3 linked regions of the Macaca mulatta genome follow. The protein of the gene in region 3 interacts with the protein of the main gene of each other region in a pairwise test. Links are inferred from orthologs where the notes say so. Each region holds a gene or a part of one and is shown on either strand. Other genes may lie near its edges. The genes, in order: LDOC1, MOAP1 and LATS1.

Evidence for each region.
Region 1: the proteins of LATS1 (region 3) and LDOC1 interact in a two-hybrid assay, tested with the Homo sapiens proteins (2 studies listed by BioGRID and IntAct). The two-hybrid records come from large-scale screens. The link is inferred for Macaca mulatta from reciprocal best matches to the Homo sapiens genes LATS1 and LDOC1.
Region 2: the proteins of LATS1 (region 3) and MOAP1 interact in a two-hybrid assay, tested with the Homo sapiens proteins (2 studies listed by BioGRID and IntAct). The two-hybrid records come from large-scale screens. The link is inferred for Macaca mulatta from reciprocal best matches to the Homo sapiens genes LATS1 and MOAP1.

Annotation. Positions count from the first base shown.
Region 1 is NC_133426.1:147,688,441-147,695,304, forward strand, and holds LDOC1 (protein LDOC1), read left to right. Parts: upstream 1-2,404; 5' UTR 2,405-2,498; coding exon 2,499-2,939; 3' UTR 2,940-3,754; downstream 3,755-6,864. UniProt on the Homo sapiens protein: May have an important role in the development and/or progression of some cancers.
Region 2 is NC_133412.1:166,433,297-166,440,831, reverse strand, and holds MOAP1 (modulator of apoptosis 1), read left to right. Parts: upstream 1-3,677; 5' UTR 3,678-3,993; intron 3,994-4,189; 5' UTR 4,190-4,309; coding exon 4,310-5,365; 3' UTR 5,366-6,341; downstream 6,342-7,535. Other genes in the region: LYSET (lysosomal enzyme trafficking factor), read right to left, coding at 1,905-2,316, 3,062-3,159.
Region 3 is NC_133409.1:68,222,599-68,230,133, reverse strand, and holds the start of LATS1 (serine/threonine-protein kinase LATS1), read left to right. Parts: upstream 1-3,757; 5' UTR 3,758-3,988; exon of another isoform or gene 3,989-4,150; intron 4,151-7,535. UniProt on the Homo sapiens protein: Negative regulator of YAP1 in the Hippo signaling pathway that plays a pivotal role in organ size control and tumor suppression by restricting proliferation and promoting apoptosis.

The sequences.
Region 1 (6,864 bases), on a different chromosome or scaffold from region 3:
TCTTTAAAAATCTATTCAGCCAGTTTTATTACATCAGTCATTGTTTCACAATCGAGACTGATTCATGGTCAGAGATAAAATACACTGAACAATTTTTTTTTTTTTTCTGTTTCTCTTTTTTCTTTTTTCTGAGACGTTGTTTTGCTCTTGCTGCCCAGGCTGGAGTGCAATAGTGTGATCTCGGCTCACTGCAACCTCTGCCTCCTGGGTTCAAGTGATTTTCCTGCCTCAGTCTCCCAAGTAGCTGGGATTACAGGCACCTGCCACCACACCTGGCTAATTTTGTATTTTTTGGAAAGACGGGGTTTCTCCATGTTGGTCAGCCTGGTCTCGAACTCCTGACCTCAGGTGATCTGCCCCCCCCCCCGCCCTCGGCCTCCCAAAGTGCTGGGATTACAGGCATGAGCCACCATGCCCAACCTTACACTTAACAATTTAAAGAGTATTATTTAACACTTTGTGCAGCCACAACTTCTAATTTTTATCTCAGCATCTGCACTCTGAGATTATATTACACGCCAAACATTAATGAAGCCTCTACTCTGGGCCAGAACTTATCTAGACATTAGGGATAGACCAGATAGCAAAAGCAGTGTTTCTTTGACTTATATATTCTAAAATGGAAGCAGATGATGAGCAAAGTCCTATATATACATACGACATGGTGGCTAGTAGCACAATAAATGTTATGTAGATAAATGAAGCAGAGTAAAGGGTTACAGATTGGTGGCAGAGAACAGGGTGCTCTGATAGGTCCAGTGGTCAGAAAAGTTCTCTCTGAAAGCAGTAGGAGGAGTCAGGCAGCCAACTGGGATGACATCCTTGCAAAGGAGAAGGGATAGAAGGTGCAAAGGCTATGAAGCCAGAACTGCTTGATGGGTGTGAGAATCAGCAAGGAAGACAGTGATGAGAGCACAGCAGAAAATGGGAAGAGGCACAGGATAGAAGGAGGGGCCTTGTAGGCCTTGGCTGCAACTTTGCTCTTTATTCTGAGGTGAAACTACTGGAGGATTTTGAGCAGGGGCGTGAAGGGATCTAACTGTTTTTTGTTTGTTTGTTTGTTTGTTTTTGTTTTTTTTTTTAGAGATGGAGTCTCGCTTGGTAACCAAGGCTGGAGGAGTGCGCTGGCGCTATCTCGGCTCACTGCCACCTCCGCCTCCCGGGTTCAAGCGATTCTCCTGCCTTAGCCTCCTGAGTAGCTGGAACTACAGGCACCTGCCACCACGCCCCGCTAATATTTTGTATTTTTAGTAGAGACAGGGTTTCACCCTGTTAGCCAGGATGATCTCGATCTCCTGACTCGTGATCCGCCCTCCTTGGCCACCCAAAGTGCTAGGATTACAGGAGTGAGCCACCGCGCCCGATTCCTGTGGCTACTCTATGGAGAATATACTATAGGAAGAAAAGAGTGAAAGCTAAGTGATTAGTTGCAGCAGTCTGGGTGAGAAAGGCTGGGGATCAGGGTGGCAGTGGTAGAAATGACAAGTCATGACTGAATTGGCAATATATTTGAAAGCAGAGCCAACAATTCCTGTCGGCTCTAGGGATCCGTTTAAAGTAGAAAAACAAAATTATTTAAAAACACAAACATCTTAACAGTTCATTTTTAAGTACAGAATAAAACCCAGTGGCCAAAGGCACTAATAGCAGGACAAGAAATAGAGAATCAAAGATATGTGGGATGCCTGCAATTGATTATTGGATGCTGATTTTGCAAAACTTCTTTATATCCTGCTACTTAGGTTTGTTTTTTTTTGTTTGTTTGTTTTAAGGGAGTATGCCATATTATTCCCCTACTAAAGAAGTCACTGTTTAAATACTGCCTTTTTCATGAAAGGCAGGAACCCCTGAAGGTCTTCATGATCCTAAAAGGAAGTGTGAGTCCCACAGTGCAGCCAGCAGTGTCAATACTTCTCTGAGTGAGATTTAAACAAGAAAGAAAATGTGTTAATAAAACATCACGCCAAGAGAATCTAGTGGCCACAGACCCACGAAGGAACAACTGAGTTGTGAGAGTTGCCTAGGTAGAAGGGTGGCTAATCCTTTCAGTTTGAACAAATTTGCCTTCTCTGAGACCAAACTCAGCGCTCGCCAGGTCCTCTGCTAACGCAGGCCCCACAACCAGGAGCTAGGGGAGCCTACCCCAGCCTTTAACTGCCCGCCTAGAGACCTACCACAAGCCGGTGGTTCAGCGACCCAATGCATCCTTTTCCTGGCCACGCCCTCTTTGTCTAAACCCTTCCCATCCCGGCCACGCCCCCACGCAGCCGCGGCCGCCAGTCTGGCCACGCCCCTCCCGCGCCGCGCCGGCGCACCATCCGTCCGAATGGCCTCGTGGGCGGAGCTTGCGTAGCCTCCCGGACCCCGGCGCGCACCGCCCCCCGCCCCCAGCCCCTGGCCATCGAGCGTCTCCGTGGACACGCACTTCCTGCGAGGCCTCCGTGCGCACCTTGGCCGAGCCGAACCGAGCCGAGCCCTGTCCTTCCAGGCTGTTCGCAATGGTGGATGAGCTGGTGCTGCTGCTGCACGCGCTCCTGATGCGGCACCGCGCCCTGACCATCGAGAACAGCCAGCTCATGGAACAGCTGCGGCTGCTGGTGTGCGAGAGGGCCAGCCTGCTGCGCCAGGTACGTCCGCCGAGCTGCCCGGTGCCCTTCCCCGAAACGTTTAATGGCGAGAGCTCCCGGCTCCCTGAGTTTATCGTGCAGACAGCGTCTTACATGCTCGTGAACGAGAACCGATTCTGCAACGACGCCATGAAGGTGGCATTCCTAATCAGTCTCCTCACCGGGGAAGCCGAGGAGTGGGTGGTGCCCTACATCGAGATGGATAGCCCCATCCTAGGTGATTACCGAGCCTTCCTCGATGAGATGAAACAGTGCTTTGGCTGGGATGACGACGAAGACGACGACGACGAGGACGAAGAGGATAATTACTAGGCCCTCGGGCCTCGGGGGGAGGGCCCTGCACGCCGTCACCCCCTCCCCGCAGCCCTCACCCCGCCAGGAGCCAGTGCTCTCCCCCTTGCCCTCCGGTCCCCTTCCCTACCCGCGCCCGTCTGCTCTTTCTTCATTTCTCCGTAGTGCTTGTCTTTGTTCCAGGAATAGTGCTCCAGTTACCTGCTGCTGGGGTTGGGGCTGGAGCCTCACTCACTCGGAAGTGCTTGGAAGTGTCATCTACCCTGGCCATCCCGGGGATCCCTCCCCTGCTAATCTGAACTGTGTCCTGAACCCCAGCTATTGGCCAGGCCCCTGTTACAAACTGCGCAGACCACCCATAGCCCTGCTGCTGCCACCTGCCCTGCTGCCAGGCTTACATCTGCCCAGAGAACTATGCTGCCACTTCACATCCACTCACCACATCCCACCTACAGACTACCGCCTTTCGAGATCAGGACCAACCTGGAAAATGCCAGAGTTGGCTCTGCCTCTTCGGACATTGATTTGGACAGCTCACCAACCCCTGAAGAGGCCAGTCATTCAGCCTGGTTAGTTTTCTACCTACTCCGAGTGTCCTCCCCTGCCATACCAGATTGCTGCAGGGGCGCGGTGTGCCTGACAGCCAAATTGTTGATATTTCTTTTTTCCTATGCACTGGTTTTACACAGCTGTCATTTTTCTTTCAAAATTGCAGCAGTCCCACAGATGTATGCATTTGGACAAATAGTACTAAAAACAAAACAAACAAGCACTCAGCCCAGCTCCTCAATACTACCTGGAAAAAGCATTGGCATTATTTTCAATAAATATCAAGCACTAAAAAACGAAATGATTGTCTTTTAATAGTTAAGTGCTATCACTGACCTCTAGAACTGTCACTGTGACTACCGTTATTCCCATGGAAATCAGGGAATACAACCAATCCTAGGAATCCCTGCTGTCAACTCCAGGCTGCTGGGGACAGCTACCTCAGGGCTTTGTCAGGGTTCTGATGCTTCCTTCACCAACGCATTTCTTAAAGCCCTGGCAAAGGGTGTGTTCTCTGGGTCCTCCAGGGTGGCATGGGTAAGGGTTGGCTGAGCAGATGGCAAAGAGGGCAGTATTAATAATTAGACCGTAACAACAGGCATAAACCAGGACATATATATGTATTGCTCCTAATTCTCTGAGCTTTTGGATTCCTTAATATTGTGCCAGGGAAGTTCTGCCCCTTAATCCTTATTGCCTATATGCAGCTGTTGAGTTCAGGCTCCAGAGAGCCAACATAGTACATTGTCACTTTCAAACTCCAAATAGCCAACATGTCACTTACAGGTGCTCTAGCTAACATTAAGTCCCAGATCCTGGGCAAGTGCATCCATAAAGATATACCCTGATCTTAACAAACATTTCATCCTCCTTGGGCAGACATCCTTAGAATTTCCACTCATAGATGTGTCCCAGATTCCTCCCTATGGAAATTAGCAAGATGCTTGGTTATCTCTTAAATCAGACTTTGTACTGCTATCTGGGGGCTATGCTGAGATCTCTGGGCCTGGAGGGTTCAGAGCAGTGAAGGGGGTGGCTGCTGAGAAGAAACTGCATACCTGTGTGAGGCCATTGCCCCGGGTTAAGTCATTGAAATGTTTAATGCAGAGCAGCTTGGTTGGGGATTTGAGAGGACTACCTCTTAGAAAGGTTTAGGAGGATGTGAGGGGTTCAGAGTTCTCATTTATATCTGTCCAGATGTCCTCCCTCATTGTACCATGTCTGGAGCCAACTTCACTTTATAACCTTTAATTAATTTAGATAACACATTTCCTTACTGTTTAAGGCCTTTTGAGGCAAGATATTTCATTTGTACTGGTAAACCTCAGTGTTGATTAAATGAGATATGGGGCTTCATATTAATCACCTGATAGGTGTGGATTATATGAGATCATACCCATGCAGCATTTAGAACTTTCCCTGCTACATGGTGAGCACTCAGTAAACCATGGGCTGTTACTCCTGGGCCTGGGGACAGAATTCTCAGGAAGCAAGTCTCTGGCTCTGAGCGTGGCTTTAGTAGGAAAATGTCAGCGTAAAGAGGAGCAGAGCAGGTTCAGCGATAATGGAAATGAGAGCATGATAAGACCCCATTTACTTTTTGAAGTCTTATATGAAGCAAGAAACAAAGCTGTTTACGTGGTGAACAGGCAAAGTTCAGGGTAGGAATTATATCTCACACCTAGGATAGCTGTTTCTGGAGGGTGGGGACAGGGGTGAGTATGACTTAATAAAAGAGGCCAAGGCTTGGGTGGAAATGAGATCTGGGGCTCTTCGGGAAGCTGCTGCCTCCAAATCTGAATCAAGGAGACACCTGGTTATTTAGAATTCACTGATCACTTCTCCCAGTCTCCTTGGAAAATATACAAAAACCCTTGGAATACAGAGAGTTTATATTTGAGACATAATATGTGTGAGGCCAGATAATTACACTTTCTTCCTGACTAGAAAGGCCTTGAATTGGGGATAAATGGGGAAAAGTGAGCAAGATCTAAAAGGTAAAGGATCCAGTGAGACTAAAAATCATTTATTCCAAACTGATTATGGCCCAGTTATGCTGAGTGGAGTTATATCATTGAATAAAATGTCATCTCTGCCTTCATAGTTAGTCCAGTCTGCTACTTTTACTGTGCCTTGGGCCAGAACTTCGATGATTAGTTACAGGAAAGGGCCAGGAAGAGAATCTGGGCTGTGATTAGATCTAGGAATGACCTTTCTGGGGTGGAAGTTGAGGACATATGAGTATGTGTTCTGTGGAGGAAGGGAGGGTCAGTAAGGATGCCATGCCGAGGCAGCATCTGAATGGCATCTGGGAGAACTAGGCCAAGGAGCTTCTGTGATCTGAAATGTACATTTCCTGAGTATGTGTGCATGTGCACATGAGCTTGCTGTGACCCTGTATGTGTGTGCTGTGTGTGTGTGTGTGTATGTGTTAGGTGATGTCCTTCATGCATCATGGACGAACAGGTTATGCTGTGAGATGCACAAAAGGAAAGTGTGAGATTCTGGTTACTCTGGGGACAGATTCTGCAATAAAAGTGCAGATATTGGCAAGGGCTCCATCACCCAGGGAGGAATTCCTGATAATGGCATAAAGCATTGCAAAAAAGAAGGAAGAAGTAGAAGTATGTCTAAGGATGGAAGTGCCACTTCTATCAAAACTATTAAAAATAGGTAGGAATGCTGAACAAATATGAACTTCAGACTCCTGAATTCTCATTTTGGGTATAATAGACTTGAAATGGCCACTGAAATTATACTATCAATGAAATGAAATTAGTCATATTAGAGGTCATAATCATTTAATCATATTAAATATACCAATATATCTTTGGACTTTTCTATTCATTTGAATAGATAAGCACTGCCATCTATTAAGTCCGTGTTGCTGTATCCTGCAGAATGGTATATAAAGCTAGAGGTACTTTATGCACATGTATATTTGATTATTTTCTGCTATTAAAACATAGCTAAAACCTCAGTAATTTGGAAGTAGGCAGATTAGAGGGAGAAGTCTTGTTGAAATTAGTGGGATATTTGCATTTTTAAAAATATGCTTAAATTTTTTTCTTTTTTTTTTTTTTTTTTTTAATGGAGTCTCGCTCTGTCGCCCCCAGGCTGGAGTGCAGTGGCACTATCTCGGCTCACTGCAACCTCTGTCTCCTGGGTTCAAACGATTCTCCTGCCTCAGCCTCCCGAGTAGCTGGGATTACAAGCACCCGCCACAACGCCTGGCTAATTTTTGTGTTTTTAGTAGAGACTGGGTTTCGCCAGTAGAGTGACCTCGAACTCCTGACTTCATGATTCACCCGCCTCGGCCTCCCAAAGTGCCAGGATTACAGGTGTGAGCCACCACACCCGGCCTCTAGGTTCTTAAATTGAGTAAAGCAAAGCTAAT
Region 2 (7,535 bases), on a different chromosome or scaffold from region 3:
ATAAAATGTTTTCCAGTATTAATGACATAACTGTATAAAAATATATCTTGATCTCACACAGAAAAGAAGACATTCTACTGTGTCCATGTTTTAGTTATTTGTATTAGTACCAGATGTGAGGTAGTACAAATGCAAAGGAGAAGGTATACAAGGATCACATCTTCATGTAATTAACCTACCGCCTGACGACCTGACCTTGGGCCAGAAAAGAAAATCAGAAAGATTATGACTTGATAGCATCTTTTAGAGGGGTCTCATGCATCTGATAAGGACTGGACTAAATTACCTGTTATAGGCTGGGCGTGGTGGCTCATGCCTGTTATCCTAGTACTTTGGGAGGCTGAGACGGATCACTTGAGGTCAGGAGTTCGAGACCAGCCTGGCCAACATGGTGAAACCCCATCTCTACTAAAAAATACAAAAATTAGCCGGGCATGGTGGCGGGTGCCTGTAATCCCAGCTACTTGGGAGGCTGAGGCAGGAGAATAGTGTGAACCTGGGAGGCGGAGGTTGCAGTGAGCTGAGATCGCACTACTGTACACCAGCCTGGGTGACAGAGCGAGACTCCGTCTCAAAATAAATAAATAAATAAATAAATAAATAAATAAATAAATAAATAAATAAAATACAGCTGGGCATGGTGGCTCATGCCTGTAATCCCAGGCCTTTGGGAGGCTGACACAGGCGGATTACCTTGGGTGAGGAGTTTGAGAACAGCCTGGCCAACATGCTGTAACCCTCTCTACTAAAATAACAGAAATTAGCCAGGCGTAGGGGCAGTCACCTGTAATCCCAGCTACTCAGGAGGCTGAGGCAAGAGAATCTCTTAAACCGGGGAGGTAGAGGTTGCAGTAAGCCAAAGGTTTCAGTGAGCCGAGAATGCACCACTGCACTCCATCCTGGGTGACAGAGCAAGGCTCCGTCTCAAAAAAAATAATAATTTTAATTAATTAATTAATAACCTGCTTATTTTCATTGAACACATTGTTTCCATCTTCTATTTGTAAGTTATTTCTAGCCTTTCAACATTTACCATTTAGTCTCTTCCCAAATAGTTTTCTAAACTAGTAGCAATGGGGCACATGTTCTCAGGGCCTCCTGAGGCTGTGTCACAAGCCATGGAAAAAAAAATTTTTTTAATTAAAAATAGCTGGGCATGGGAGCCACGCCAGTAATCCTAGCACTTAGGGAGTGCTAGAGGGGAGGAAAGCTTGAGCCCAGGAGTTCGAGACCTGCCTGGGCAACGTGGCGAGACCTCATTCTCCACAAAAAAGAAAAATATAAAAAATAAAACCATTAAAAGCACTAATAATAATTTAGCTAGCCATTACCAAGAGGAAGAACAAATTCTGCTTATCAAGACAGCCATTACCTTAATACTTTTTTTAGCAATGTCTCATAAGCTGACAGCAAGTATAAACAGCTGGCTTAGCTGCAATAGAATGAATCGGTGTTTTAAGTGTGAAGAATTTAAAGCAAGCCAAGTAATTGTATAAAATTTAAATTTTATGATCATGTCTGGACCTTTTTACACTTAACACAATGGAAATGTTCATATTCATTTTTTTTCCCCAAAGGAAAAATTTCTGAATCATCACTATGTTGCACAGTAGAATAGAAATATGAATTCAGGTACTCAGTCAAGTTTCTAAAGAATGCAAATAACAGACACGATTTAACTTCCAAAATCTGAAGTCATCAACATGATTTTGTAGTACTCTATCTCAGGTTTTACCTAAAAATTCATTATTATTCAGATAAAGATAGCCCCCTGATCACATGTTTTTAAAAAGCCTCTGCCCCACCACAACTTCCTGAGATCTGTGAAGAAACTGCAGTCTTGTGATCAGACTCCATATAGGACTGGCAGTTTTGTAATCGTAGGGAAAAAACGGTGACTGATTTTATGTGTCAATCAGTTGTAGTCTGCTGATCTGATTAGAAGCCTTGACAAATGCCTGGTGGCGATTGCAAATAACTGCCAAGCATATAGGGATGATACAGTAGCCCACTGTTTTGGGATCAGCTCTTGTACAAGAGTATAGGAACAAAAACATCTGTAAGTAAGGTACCAGAAAAATAATTGTCCACAACCAAAAAGGCAAGGAGAGTAATCGAGCTTTCAAGGAGTGTGTCCATGTGGTTCCTTCAAGGGGCTCCTCAGGGTGCTGTTGAATGTGTTCCAAGGCCAGCCTATTGTAAGTCTCATTGATTTCAAAAACATAGTAAAATGCTGCTGCACTTGCTAACAGATACAATCCCACTCCAATCCATCCCATCCGCTGACGGAAATTCATCATTCTCCATGCTCTGTGCCTTCAAATTAAAAAAGAAAATACAATTAGGGTCTTGTAGTACTGTCACCGCAACTACTCCAAATGTACTTGCTTTATCTCCAAGAATTCTAGGTCGGGCGCGGTGGCTCACAACTGTAATCCCAGCACTTTGGGAGGCCGAGGCGGGCGAATCACGAGGTCAGGAGATTGAGACCATCCTGGCTAACATGGTGAAACCCTTCTCTACTAAAAATACAAAAAATTAGCTGGGCGTGGTGGCGGGCGCCTGTAGTCCCAGGTACTCGGGAGGCTGAGGCAGGAGAATGGCGTGAACCCGGGAGGCAGAGCTTGCAGTGAGCCGAAATCGCGCCACTGCACTCCAGCCTGGACGACAGAGCGAGACTCCGTCTCAAAAAAATAAAATTAAATTCGAAAGCATCCCACTAACACACTTAAGATTTAAAATAATTAAACGCCTATTAAGAAATGTAAAACTTACAGGTTTTGTGTAATAGTTACAATAAAAAAACAAAAACAAAATAACCATTGATTTCAGTATATACTGAGTTCTGCTTTTTAACGGGAATCTCAGAATAAATCACTGCATCCTACTTAAACAGGTCCATAATACCCGCCCTCCAGAAACTGGAATTAAACTAGTTTCCCACAGCACTTTTCACTTTGACAGGTGAAACACTTTCGGCTTTACAGTACTGCTTCAGATGTGAACGCGGGGTGCTACAAGTCAAGCCCCCAAGTTAAGACAGTAACTCCTAAGCACTTACAGTGGTCCCGAAAATCTTCCTGTTCCCACGGCAAGCGTTAAAGAGTCATTCAGCTCTGAATAATCGGGTGGCTTTGGCATTTCAGAGAAAGCCACCATAAAATAAATCCCCTGGGTCACCCGGCTAGGAGAAAGGTGAGCGCCGCCAGCCTGGAGCACCAGCTACTAGTGATTAAGAACGGCGTGACTGCGGCGGGTCACGCGCGGCCCGGCCCCCGTCGCCGCCGCCGGAGACCCGCTATGGGGACCTGACCCGGCCGGGAGGCGTCCCCGCCAAAAGGGCCTCCAGGCGGCCGGCCCCGCCCCCTGCCGCGCTGCAGCGCCGGCACGCAGCGACCAGGGTTGTGCTGACTGCGCCAGGCCCGGGCCTCGCAGCCCTGCAGCGTCGCGAGCCCAGCGCCAGTCAGCGGCCGCCGGCAGAGCCTGCCTGCAAAGCTAAGGTCCCGGATCTCACCTTCCTGTCCCGGGTGGCCAGCCCGCCCGCCGTCCCGGATGCCGCCGCAGTCCGGGCTTCCGGCTCGGGCCGGAAGCGCGCGCGCCCCGCCCCCCAGAGGCCCGCCCCCCCTCATGACGTCAGATCGCCCCCGCCCGCCGCGCAGCTTCCCCCAGCGAGACCCAAACAGCTGGAATCCGCGCTGGAGCTGGGGGTCTAGCTGCGCGGGTGGCGGCACGTCCCTTCAGGTGGGCGGCTGTCTGGGTCTGGCGACTCAGCGCTCCTCAGCCTTTCCTCCCGGTGCCCGATCGCGACTGTCATCGCCCGATCACTTCTTGCTACGGAGAGCATCACAAGCACCTGGAGGACCGGCATCAGTCGCTTTGGCCCCTGAGTGTCCGTCCGAGCCTAGGGGAGCCCGCCCTCCCGCACCTCGTCGGGGCCCGGCCAGGCACCTCCGCCGCCGGCGCACGGACGCGGGCACCGAGCACTAGATTACGGTGAGTGGAAGCTGGCCCGGAGAGGCCCTGCAGGCCCGACATCCGCCAGGCACCAGGGCTGGGAGGGGTGAGGGGCGCGCGCCGCAGTGCGGCGGCCCTGGAGTCGCCGCGGGGGGCAGGGCGCGCGGGGCTTGGGGCCTGCACGCGTGCCTTGGACGTTGGCACCCTTAGCTAACCTGTCTGCTGTGTTTTGCAGGCTGCTGGACCTCGGCACGTTGACGAGATTTCCCTGAGGTACCGCGGAGGATTACTTTGAATTGCAGTGGCCGCCTGTGGTCTGGAATATTTAGAACTTAAGTGTATTATTTCGGGCACCATGACTTTGAGGCTTTTGGAAGACTGGTGCAGGGGGATGGACATGAACCCTCGGAAAGCGCTGTTGATTGCCGGCATCTCCCAGAGCTGCAGTGTGGCAGAAATCGAGGAGGCTCTGCAGGCTGGTTTAGCTCCCTTGGGGGAGTACAGACTGCTTGGAAGGATGTTCAGGAGGGATGAGAACAGGAAAGTAGCCTTAGTAGGTCTTACTGCGGAGACTAGTCACGCACTGGTCCCTAAGGAGATACCGGGAAAAGGGGGTATCTGGAGAGTGATCTTTAAGCCCCCTGACTCTGATAATACATTTTTAAGCAGATTAAATGAATTTTTAGCGGGAGAGGGCATGACAGTGGGTGAGTTGACCAGAGCTCTTGCACATGAAAATGGCTCCTTAGACCTAGAGCAGGGCATGATCCCAGAAATGTGGGCCCCTATGTTGGCACAGGCATTAGAGGCTCTTCAGCCTGCCCTGCAATGCTTGAAGTATAAAAAGCTGAGAGTGTTCTCGGGCAGGGAGCCTCCAGAACCAGGAGAAGAAGAATTTGGACGCTGGATGTTTCATACTACTCAGATGATAAAGGCGTGGCAGGTGCCAGATGTAGAGAAGAGAAGGCGATTGCTAGAGAGCCTTCGAGGCCCAGCACTTGATGTTATTCGTGTCCTCAAGATAAACAATCCTTTAATTACTGTCGATGAATGCCTGCAGGCTCTTGAGGAGGTATTTGGGGTTACAGATAATCCTAGAGAGTTGCAGGTCAAATATCTAACCACTTATCAGAAGGATGAGGAAAAGTTGTCGGCTTATGTACTAAGGCTGGAGCCTTTGTTACAGAAGCTGGTACAGAGAGGAGCAATTGAGAGAGATGCTGTGAATCAGGCCCGCCTAGACCAAGTCATTGCTGGCGCAGTCCACAAAACAATTCGCAGAGAGCTTAATCTGCCAGAGGATGGCCCAGCCCCTGGTTTCTTGCAGTTACTGGTACTAATAAAGGATTACGAGGCAGCTGAGGAGGAGGAGGCCCTTCTCCAGGAAGTATTAGAAGGGCATTTCACCTGAGTCTCAGGGAATCACGAAGGGATATGGCAATGAGTAGAGCATGAAGGTAGAACAGTCTATATACTCTTTGACACATACAATCCCTACCTTGTGCTGCCAAGTAACTCATTTTTGTGCAATTCTCAGTATAAGCCCTTTGTCGTTTCTATGCCTATTTAAAGTCTCCTAAAGGTGTAATTGACTAGGAAGGATGTAGTTCTACACTGCTGTTTACCTATTTAAATTCATCCTTGTGAATATCTTTGTTGTTGTTGTAGGGACAGAGTCTCGTGCTCACCCAGGCTGGAGTGCAGTGGCGCGATCTTGGCTCACTGCACCCTCCACCTCCCGGGTTTAAGCTATTCTCCTGCCTCAGTCTCCCGAGTAGCTGGGACTACTCGTGCCACCACGCCCAGCTAAGTTTTGCATTTTCAGTAGAGACAGGGTTTCACCATGTTGGCCAGGCTAATTTCGAACTCCTGACCTCGAGTGATCCACCTGCGTCAGCCTCCGAAAGTGCTGGGATTACAGGTGTGAGCCACTGCGCCCGGCCTCATCCCTGTGAATTTCTTATTGTACAAAAGTTCTTTCACTACCTGTGTGCAGTGCTCTGAGAGGACAGACAAGGCTCGGGTGTATATGCTGACCAGATCTCATTGAAATATCAGCTTGTTTGGTACGAGGCACAAGTGTAGCATGTCACATGTGATCATGTTGGATCATTGACAGTTTTTAGGTATGTATTGACCTACATTTATGATGAAGATCCTGAGTGGAGGTTAAGATACTAAGTTATTTTCTGTATGAATCAAAATTATATTGATTCTGTGCAATCAAAACAAAAGGCGGAATAGAATGCTGAGATTGGTTAAGTTTCAATGACCATCTTTACAGATTTCTGCTATGTGTCATCAAAACATCTAGTTCTGAGTAACATTTTCACGATTGTTATAAAATTATAGATGTGAGCTTCTAAAATAAAGGAATGGTAATAAAATGACGTTGTCTGTTTTGTTTATATCAAGGTTCCAGGAGAGATTTCATTTGAATAAAGAGTTCCCAAAGCATGAATCTGCAAACCACTGGACCTACACAGACTTAGTTCCTTGAACTCTTTCCTCTTGGTGCTCAGGGGTAGGAAACTGTTTTCTAAGTGAAGAGAGCTTCCACTGAAGCAGTAAAACAATGGGGTGAAACAAGACAGTGCACAAATTAGTGCAAGTAGTGCAGATGTATCAGTGTGTCAAATTTGGAGGGAGAAGGAAAGAAATGAACATTGCATGCTGCTGCTTGGAAGATTGGACTAAAAGTTTCTCCGTTTACTCTCTTATTTAGTCCTCTTGGAAAAAGGTTGAACAGTATAATCTTAGCACTTTGAGAGGCTGAGGCAGGAAGATTGCTTGAACCCAGGAGTTGGAGACCAGCCTGGGTAATGTAAAAAAAAATTTTTTTAACTAGCCGGGCATGGTGGTGTGCACCTGCAGTCCCTGCTACTCAGGAGGCTGAAGCTGGAGGACTGCTTGAGGCCAGGAGGTCAAGGCTGCAGCATGCCATGATCATACCACTGCACTCCAACCCGGGTGACAGAGCAAGACCCTGTCTTAAAAAAAAAAAAAAAAAAAAAAAAAAATCCTGCAATATAGGAAAACTCAGTTTCACACTTGTGGAAATGGGCACAAAAGTTTAGAAATTTGGTGTGGTGGCTCACACCTGTAATCCCAGCACTTTGGGAGGCTGAGGCGGGCAGATCACGAGGTCAGGAGATCGAGACCATCCTGGCTAACACGGTGAAACCCCGTCTCTACTAAAAATACAAAAAAATTAGCCAGGCGTGGTGGTGGGCGCCTGTAGTCCCAGCTACTCGGGAGGCTGAGGCAGGAGAATCTCTTGGACCTGGGAGGCGGAGGTTGCAGTGAGCCAAGATCGTGCCACTGCACTCCAGCCTGGGCAAAGCGAGACTCCGTCTCAAAAAAAAAAAAAAAAGAAAAAAAAAAGAAATTCAGTCAAGGTGAAACATCCTTGGGCCAGAATTCTATCCTCTGATCCTCTGTAGTAAGTGTAGTGAGTGATTAGGTCAGAATTCTCTCCTCTTTCTTTCTGCAAGGCCCATATTCTTTCTACTGCCAAGAAAGAGAAGCAATCATCAGGGTATCTATACCCATTAGCCTCACAAGGGAAGCAGGGCAGGCAT
Region 3 (7,535 bases):
AAATGTTGTAGCTGCAAAAAAATCATAAGAGTTTTTACCCCTCTATAGGGGTAGAATAAACTTTAAAAAATCTTAGCCAGAGAGGTCCTAGAATCCGTGATACACCAGTAGCAAGGCATACATCTAGCACCCAGATTTGGTTTCTTATACTATATTCCAATAAAAGGAACCAGGGAGCCTTGGGGGAATGGTGATCCCTGAACCGGGGCAAGAAATATACAAGATAACTTGGAGAATTGGGTGTGGTGGCTCACACTTGTAATCCTGCACTTTGGGAGGCCAAAGCGGGCGGATCACTTGAGCTCAGGAGTTCGAGGCCAGCCTGGGCGACATAGGGAGAGCTGGTCTCTACAAAATATACAAAAATTAGGCATGCCAGGCATGGTGGCTCACGCCTGTAATGCCAGCACTTTGGGAGGCTGAGGCGGGCAGATCATCTGAGGTCGGGAGTTCAAGACCAGCCTGACCAACATGGAGAAACCCCTTCTCTACTAAAACTACAAAATTAGCTGGGCATGGTGGTGCATGCCTGTAATCCCAGCTACTCAGGAACGCTGAGGAAGGAGAATTGTTTGAGCCCAGCAGGCGGAGGTTGCGGTGAGCCGAGATGGCACTGCTGCACTCCAGCCTGGGCAACAAGAACAAAACTTGGTCTCAAAAAAAAAAAAAAAAAAAAAAAATTAGTCGTGATGGCCTGCGCCTGTAATCCCAAACTACTCGGATGCTGAGGCAGGAGGATCACCTGAGTCCTGGGGGTTGAAGCTGCAGTGAGCCATAATTATATCACTGCACTTCAACTTGGGTGACAGAGTGAGACCCCATCTAAAAAAAAAAAAAGATTTTGGAGCATCTTGTACTGCCTGAAAATATGAAAGTTCTTTTTTTTTTTTTTTTAAAGGTGAGGTCTTGCTTTGTCACCCAGGCTGAAGTGCAGTGGCTAGATCTAGGCTCACTGCAGCGTTGGCCTCCTGGGCTCAGGCGATCCTTCTGCCTCAGCCTCCTGAGTAGCTGGGACTACAGTTGTGTACCACCACACCTGGCTGATTTATAGAGATGAGGTCTTGCTATGTTACCCAGGCTGGTCTCGAACTCTTGGGCTTAAGTGATTCTCCTGTCTCAGCCTCCAGAAGTGCTGGGATTAAAGGGGTGAGCCACCAAACTGGGCAGAAAGTTCTTTAAAACACACACACACATGCGACAAGCCAACTGAAAGAGCTCCAGTGGCCAAAACTGAAACAACTTGAGCAACAAAATAAATACCCAAAGCATAAAATAGATATCCATGAGGCCATACAGACATAAAGGGTTTTTCTTTTGTTTATTTGTTTGTTTATTTATTTTTATGTAAGATAGACCCTTGCTTTGTCACCCAGACTGGAGTACAGTGGTACAATCTCAGCTCACTGCAACCTCCACCTCCCGAGTTCAAGCGATTCTCCTGCCTCAGCCTCCCAAGTAGCTGGGACTAGAGGCATGCGCCCACCACGGCCGATTTTTTGTATTTTTAGTAGAGACAAGATTTCACCATGTTGGCCAGGCTAGTCTCGAGCTCCTGACTTAGTGATCCGCCCACCTCGGTCTCCCAAAGTGCTAGGATTATAGGTGTGAACTACCATGCCCGGCCAATAAATGTTTGAATAAATAAATGAAGGAGAAGGGATAAATCTGCAGAATTTCAAATAATGTATTTGAATTATCCACTTTATTTATTTATTTATTTGAGACAGAGTCAAGATGATGGAGCACAACTCCCTTAAGAGTGGGTGGCACATAGTCTGATGTCTTACCCTAAGATTGCATGAATTTCTGGAAGGGTTTATGTTCTCAGGGTCACACTGGTCTCCAGACTTCTTCCATGTACATTGCCCCCTCCTTCCTTTCTAAGGTCACTCAAGCATGAAATCGGACTCTACATCTATTGCTAAAAACAAAAAAGCCCCATTTCCATGAAGCACTGAAGAGTTGAGTAGGCTGAAACTGGACCAAGATCTTCCATCACAATGATATAAAAACCTGCAAATGCGATGGCAGGTATCGCCATTCCCACACACACATCCAGCACCCACAGTAAGTATTTCCCCAACCATCAGCACTCTCCACACCTGCAGTCCCCGCTGCTTTTCATCTCGTCGGTTTGTTCTCTTGCTGATCATTGCACCTCTCCTTTCCCTGCTCTTTCATCTCTCGCCCTACTTCACAGGAGTAAGACTCCTAGTCCTACACAGAGCAATTTACTCAGCTCCCTGAATTATCTAGGAATTTCCCCAAAGATGAGAGTTTGTGGAGATACTTTCCTTTAGGTTTAGAGAGCATTGAATACTATTGGTTGATGACAGAGGTGACAGGATTCTGGGGGCAGTCTGTTCTTCCAGATGCAGAATCCTTTTGGATAGGGCAAGTAGACCTGTGGACATATTAGATTCCTATAATTCATATAATTTTAGGGCTGAAAACGTTTTCATGGGTCACCCTTCCGTTGAAGAAAGTAAGCTCTTTAGTGACCCACCTTGGGTCACATTGTCTACCTTATACAAACTCTGTGCTTGTAGAAAATAGGCTTTCAACCAAATATTCTTGGAACATAATCTTTTTTTTTTTTTTTTTTTTTTTTGAGACGGAGTCTCACTCTGTTGCCCAGGCTGGAGTGCAGTGGCGCGATTTCGGCTCACTGCAAGCTCCACCTCCTGGGTTCACGCCATTCTCCTGCCTCAGCCTCCCAAGTAGTTGGGACTACAGGCGCCCGCCACCACGCCCGGCTAATTTTTTTATTTTTAGTAGAGACGGGGTTTCACCGTGTTAGCCAGGATGGTCTCGATCTGCTGACCTTGTGATCCGCCCGCCTTGGCCTCCCAAAGTGCTGGGATTACAGGCGTGAGCCACCGCGCCCGGCCGGAACATATTTTACCAGGTTTTCACATTTGGATTTCTGGATACAGTAAGTAGCCAGTTACTACTTTAACGTCAGAAAAAGATGTCTTTAATTTTTTTATAGTCTGTAGTAGAAAACTTACGAAAGAAGGTACTTAAAAACGCCAGCTGTATATTTCCTAGAGGAAAAACTGGCAAAGGCGCTCTTCACAAAGGGTAGACGGTACTTTATACATCAAACCCAACGATCCGGTCTCACACTTTACATTCAGTTTAACCATAAGTAAAACCTCTTGTCACACCGTCACCGTTACTCCAATTATGGCAATAACGACCTCCTTCTACGGATGCGGTTGACAGATAAGATCTCTAAACTGCTGCTAATCAATCGGTCCTGGCTCAAGAATTTCTTATCTGCCTGATTCAGAAAATACAGATGCTGGAAGCTCACAGGCTTGTTCGGGGAAAGAACGCTAAGCAAGAATAAAATTTTATTTCAAAGCGCCAAAAATCTCGAATTCTGAGGTCCCACAGCAAGGTTTCCCAGAGCGACTCACAGTTGTTCCCTTGTGAGAACGTAGCTCCGTGAAATGCGCATCCCTACTCGGTCCAGAGAAATAGATCAATGGGAAAAAGGATTGAATCAACAGGAGAGAGCCTTAACCCACGGCCGCGGGCGAGTAGTCTGGGCAGGGGCAGGTGGGAGCAACGTGGGGCGACGCTCACGAACGATCAGAGCGGCGGGCGACGCAACGAGGCCCGGAGGCCGCTGGCTGTGCGCTCCCTCGCAGCAGCCGGGCGGGCAGAAGCCCCCAGTCCTCGGCCCCCGCGCAAGCGACGCCGGGAAATGCCCACATCCGGGAAACCTGCAGCGGAGTGCGGCGGCGGCGACACTGAGTGGAAGGCAAAATGGCGGCGGCGGCAGTGTCCTGGTGTTAAGGGGAGAGCCAGGTCCTCGCGACCCCCGCGACGGGTCGCGCTGGCCCGCGGCAGCCGGCCCGCTCCTCTCCCCGCTCTGCCCCACCAGGGATACTTGGGGTTGCTGGGACGGGCTCCGGCCGCCTCGGCGTCCGCCCTCAGGCCCGTGGCTGCTGTCCAGGAGCTCTGCTCTCCCCTCCAGGTAGGTCCCGGGCCGGCGTAGCGGGTGCTCTCCTCCCTTGCTCGAGTTGGCGGGGCGGTGGCCGCCGGGGCCCACGCCCATCCCCGCTGGCGAGGGTCCAGAGGTTGCTGTGGACTGGCGGGCAGAGCCGGCCCGCTCCGGGCCTGACTTGGCTGGTTGCATTGACCCGAGCTGAGCCCTGCCCTGGGGAAGCGAGGGTTGGCCGCGCCCGGTGCTGCAGGAAGAGCCCCAGGCTTTTCGGCCTCGAAGGTGCAGGTTTGGCTGGGTAGAGCCTGTCTTGCTGGCTGCCTTGCGCCGACGGTCTCCCACCCCACCCCCAACACGCTAGTCGGCGGTGTCCAGGAGGGAAGGAAAGGGAAAGGTGGTTCTGAAGGAAAATTGCAGTAAAAGGGCTACAGTTCTTTGAATCCTAGAGGGCCGTGATCCTGGGTATACCTTGGAGAAATCCTTGGAGTCTCTTCTGTCTAGTTCAGTGTGATTTTAGGTTACTGTTCTTAGTTGAAAGTGGTGGGAAAGATGGAGAAGTCTTTATGGAGTAGCAGTGTGTATATAAATACAGCAAATGAAAGAACGACAATTAAGGGAACAGTGACTCTCAGATGACTTGATTTATCACTGTTCTGACTTCTCTGTCAATTTCTAAGGGAACAAAATTTAATGTTTGCCAACTTATATGTTAATACGACTTTTAAAACATGTATTGTCCTCCAGAAGTTATTCATAAATCTAGTGAACAATAAGTATAATCTCATGCACAGAAGTATATTGTGTAACTCCAGTTTTGGAAATGGATTTGAATGTTAGCGATCATGAAACTTGTCAGACCTTTATGAATTATTTATTGAAGGTTAAAATTTTTTATCAAATTTCCTCCATGAGGAAGAAAAGCTAGGACATTATAATTGGAGTGAATGTTCTCTGCTACGAAAACGAAGCTTATCTCTGACGGTAAAGTAGGGTAGTTGATTCCCTAAGGCAGTGGAGGAATTTGATTGAACAGTAAAAGAAGTAGCACTGTGTTAGTCCAGTTGGCTGCTACTGCAAGAAACTAGATCATGGTCCATGCTTGGAATGGTGCATTCTGTGCCTAAATATTGATTAAATATGTCTTGCTGCTCACCAAAAAATACTTCTACTACATTTTTAATGTATAATATCTGGCTTTCATTGTATGGGTCGTTTTTATTTTTGTTTTGTTTTTATTGCAAGTCCTTGTTGTTCTGTATAAATAGTCTTTGGAACGGTTCTAACCCTGGTTGTTTAGTTATTTTAGATGTTTTATTTATATTAATGGGAGATTGTTATACATCACAAAAGTTATTTAGTCATTGAATAACATTTTCACCAAGTAGAAACAGCAATCATTTTTCAGCATGAAGATACAGTGTTGCTTTCACTTTTGATCTGACAATTATTAGAAAGTGAACTGAAGAAAATATCAGTATGCAGTTTCCTTTAAAGATGGGAACTCGCTATCTTGCCTGTGCTGGATTCCAACTCCTGGGCTCCAGCAATCCTCCACCACAGCCTCTCAAGTAGCTGGGACTACAGGTGCACTACTGCACCCAGCCAGGGTACTTTTCTGATAAACTTAATTCAACCCAAGTTAACACTTTGAAATCTTATGTAATGGTACCATTTTTTTCCCCTAAGTTGGACAGACTAATCAGTGATACTTGTTTGTTGATGTTTGTATTTTTGATGAGGGTCTGAACTTTTTTTTAAAAAAAATGGCGATTTGTCATACCCAGGCAGTTTGATTCCAGAGCTCTTACTTTAACCATGAGGTTAAAAGTCATTGAAAGTTATGGAGTAGGTAGGTGACATGATCAGAATTGTTTATTAAGATGAATCTGGCCCCATTGTAGTGTGGGTTAAAAAGGTGAACAGTTTTGCTTTGAATAATTATTTTAAAAATTCTCTTTGCCTAGTAATAATTTGAATTTTCACATGACATAGCAGCAAAGATTATTGAGATTTAGTAATGCCAGTATTAACCATACCTTGTTGTGGGGATTATAAAATTAGTATAACTTTCTAGAAGGCAGTCTGACAATAAATATTAGAATTTTAAATAAGTATTCTCTTTGATCCAGCAATTCCACTTCTGGGAATTTATTTTAAGGAAAATGCTCAGCAATCTGTGCACAAGAATTTTTATTGCAGCAATTTTTTTTTTGTTCACAATTTTTGTTATGTGCAAGGAATAGGCTATATATATTATATATATGTTCATTTTATTAAACTATGAAGCATAATAAAATGAACATCCATGAACTTACCACCTGTCCTCAGAACTAGAATATTACCAGTATAATTGAAGTTATCAGTTTGCAGTATTATTTTACATTAGCAAAGAAATGAGGAACAACCTAAATGTCCATCAGTCAGGGATTTATAAATAATAGTACATCTGGCCAGACGTGGTGGCTCACGCCTGTAACCAGCACTTTGGGAGGCCAAGGTGGGCGGATTACGTGAGGTCTCGAGTTCGAGACCAGCCTGGCCAACATGGTGAAACCCCATCTCTACTAAAAATACAAAAATTAGTTGAGTGTGGTGGCGCACGCCTGTAGTCCCAGCTACTTGTAAGGCTGAGGCAGGAGAATCACTTGAACCCGGGAGACGGAGGTTGCAGTGAGCCGAGATGGCACCACTGCACTCTAGCCTGCGACAGAGTGAGGCTCCGTCTCAAAAAAATAAATAAATAAAATAAAAATAGTACATATACATGATGAAGTTCAATATCAAGGTATTTATTTATTTTTTGAGACGGAGTCTCTCTCTGCTGCCCAGGCTGGAGTACGGTGGCCGGATCTCAGCTCACTGCTAGCTTCGCCTCCCGGGTTTACACCATTCTCCTGCCTCAGCCTCCCGATTAGCTGGGACTACAGGCGCCCGCCACCTCGCCCGGCTAGTTTTTTGTATTTTTAGTAGAGACAGGGTTTCACCGTGTTAGCCAGGATGGTCTCCATCTCCTGACCTCGTGATCCGCCCGTCTCGGCCTCCCAAAGTGCTGGGATTACAGGCTTGAGCAACCGCTCCCGGCCAATATCAAGGTATTTAAAGGAATGAGGTTGAACTATCATATTTTCTCAGTTCTGAAATGCCACTAACTCTAAGATAAGCCGTCTATTTAGTAGCAATTTTTTAGCGGGCAGAAAGTAAACATAAAGATTTTATTAATAATCAGTAGCATACATTTATTCGTTCAATTGTATACCATTTTCATCACAATAAAGTTTGAGTCTCAGCCTTATTCACATTCAGAATCTAGGATTCTTCTGAATTACTTTGGGTAGTTAATGCAACATCATGATAACAGGCTGCTTTTCGTAATGCTAGTTAATTATCTTAACCTATGTTGTCTTTATGATTGTGTGTATAATTTTAAGGTATAATGAAGAATACTGGGATGTTGCTTTCCTTTTTGCTTAGTTTTTTTTTTTTTTCTTCTAATTAAACAGCTTCCTCTGAAGATAACTGCAAAAGTTTTGACAGATTTTTAGTCTCTTACCTTTGAAAATTCTGTGATCTTGCTTGAATT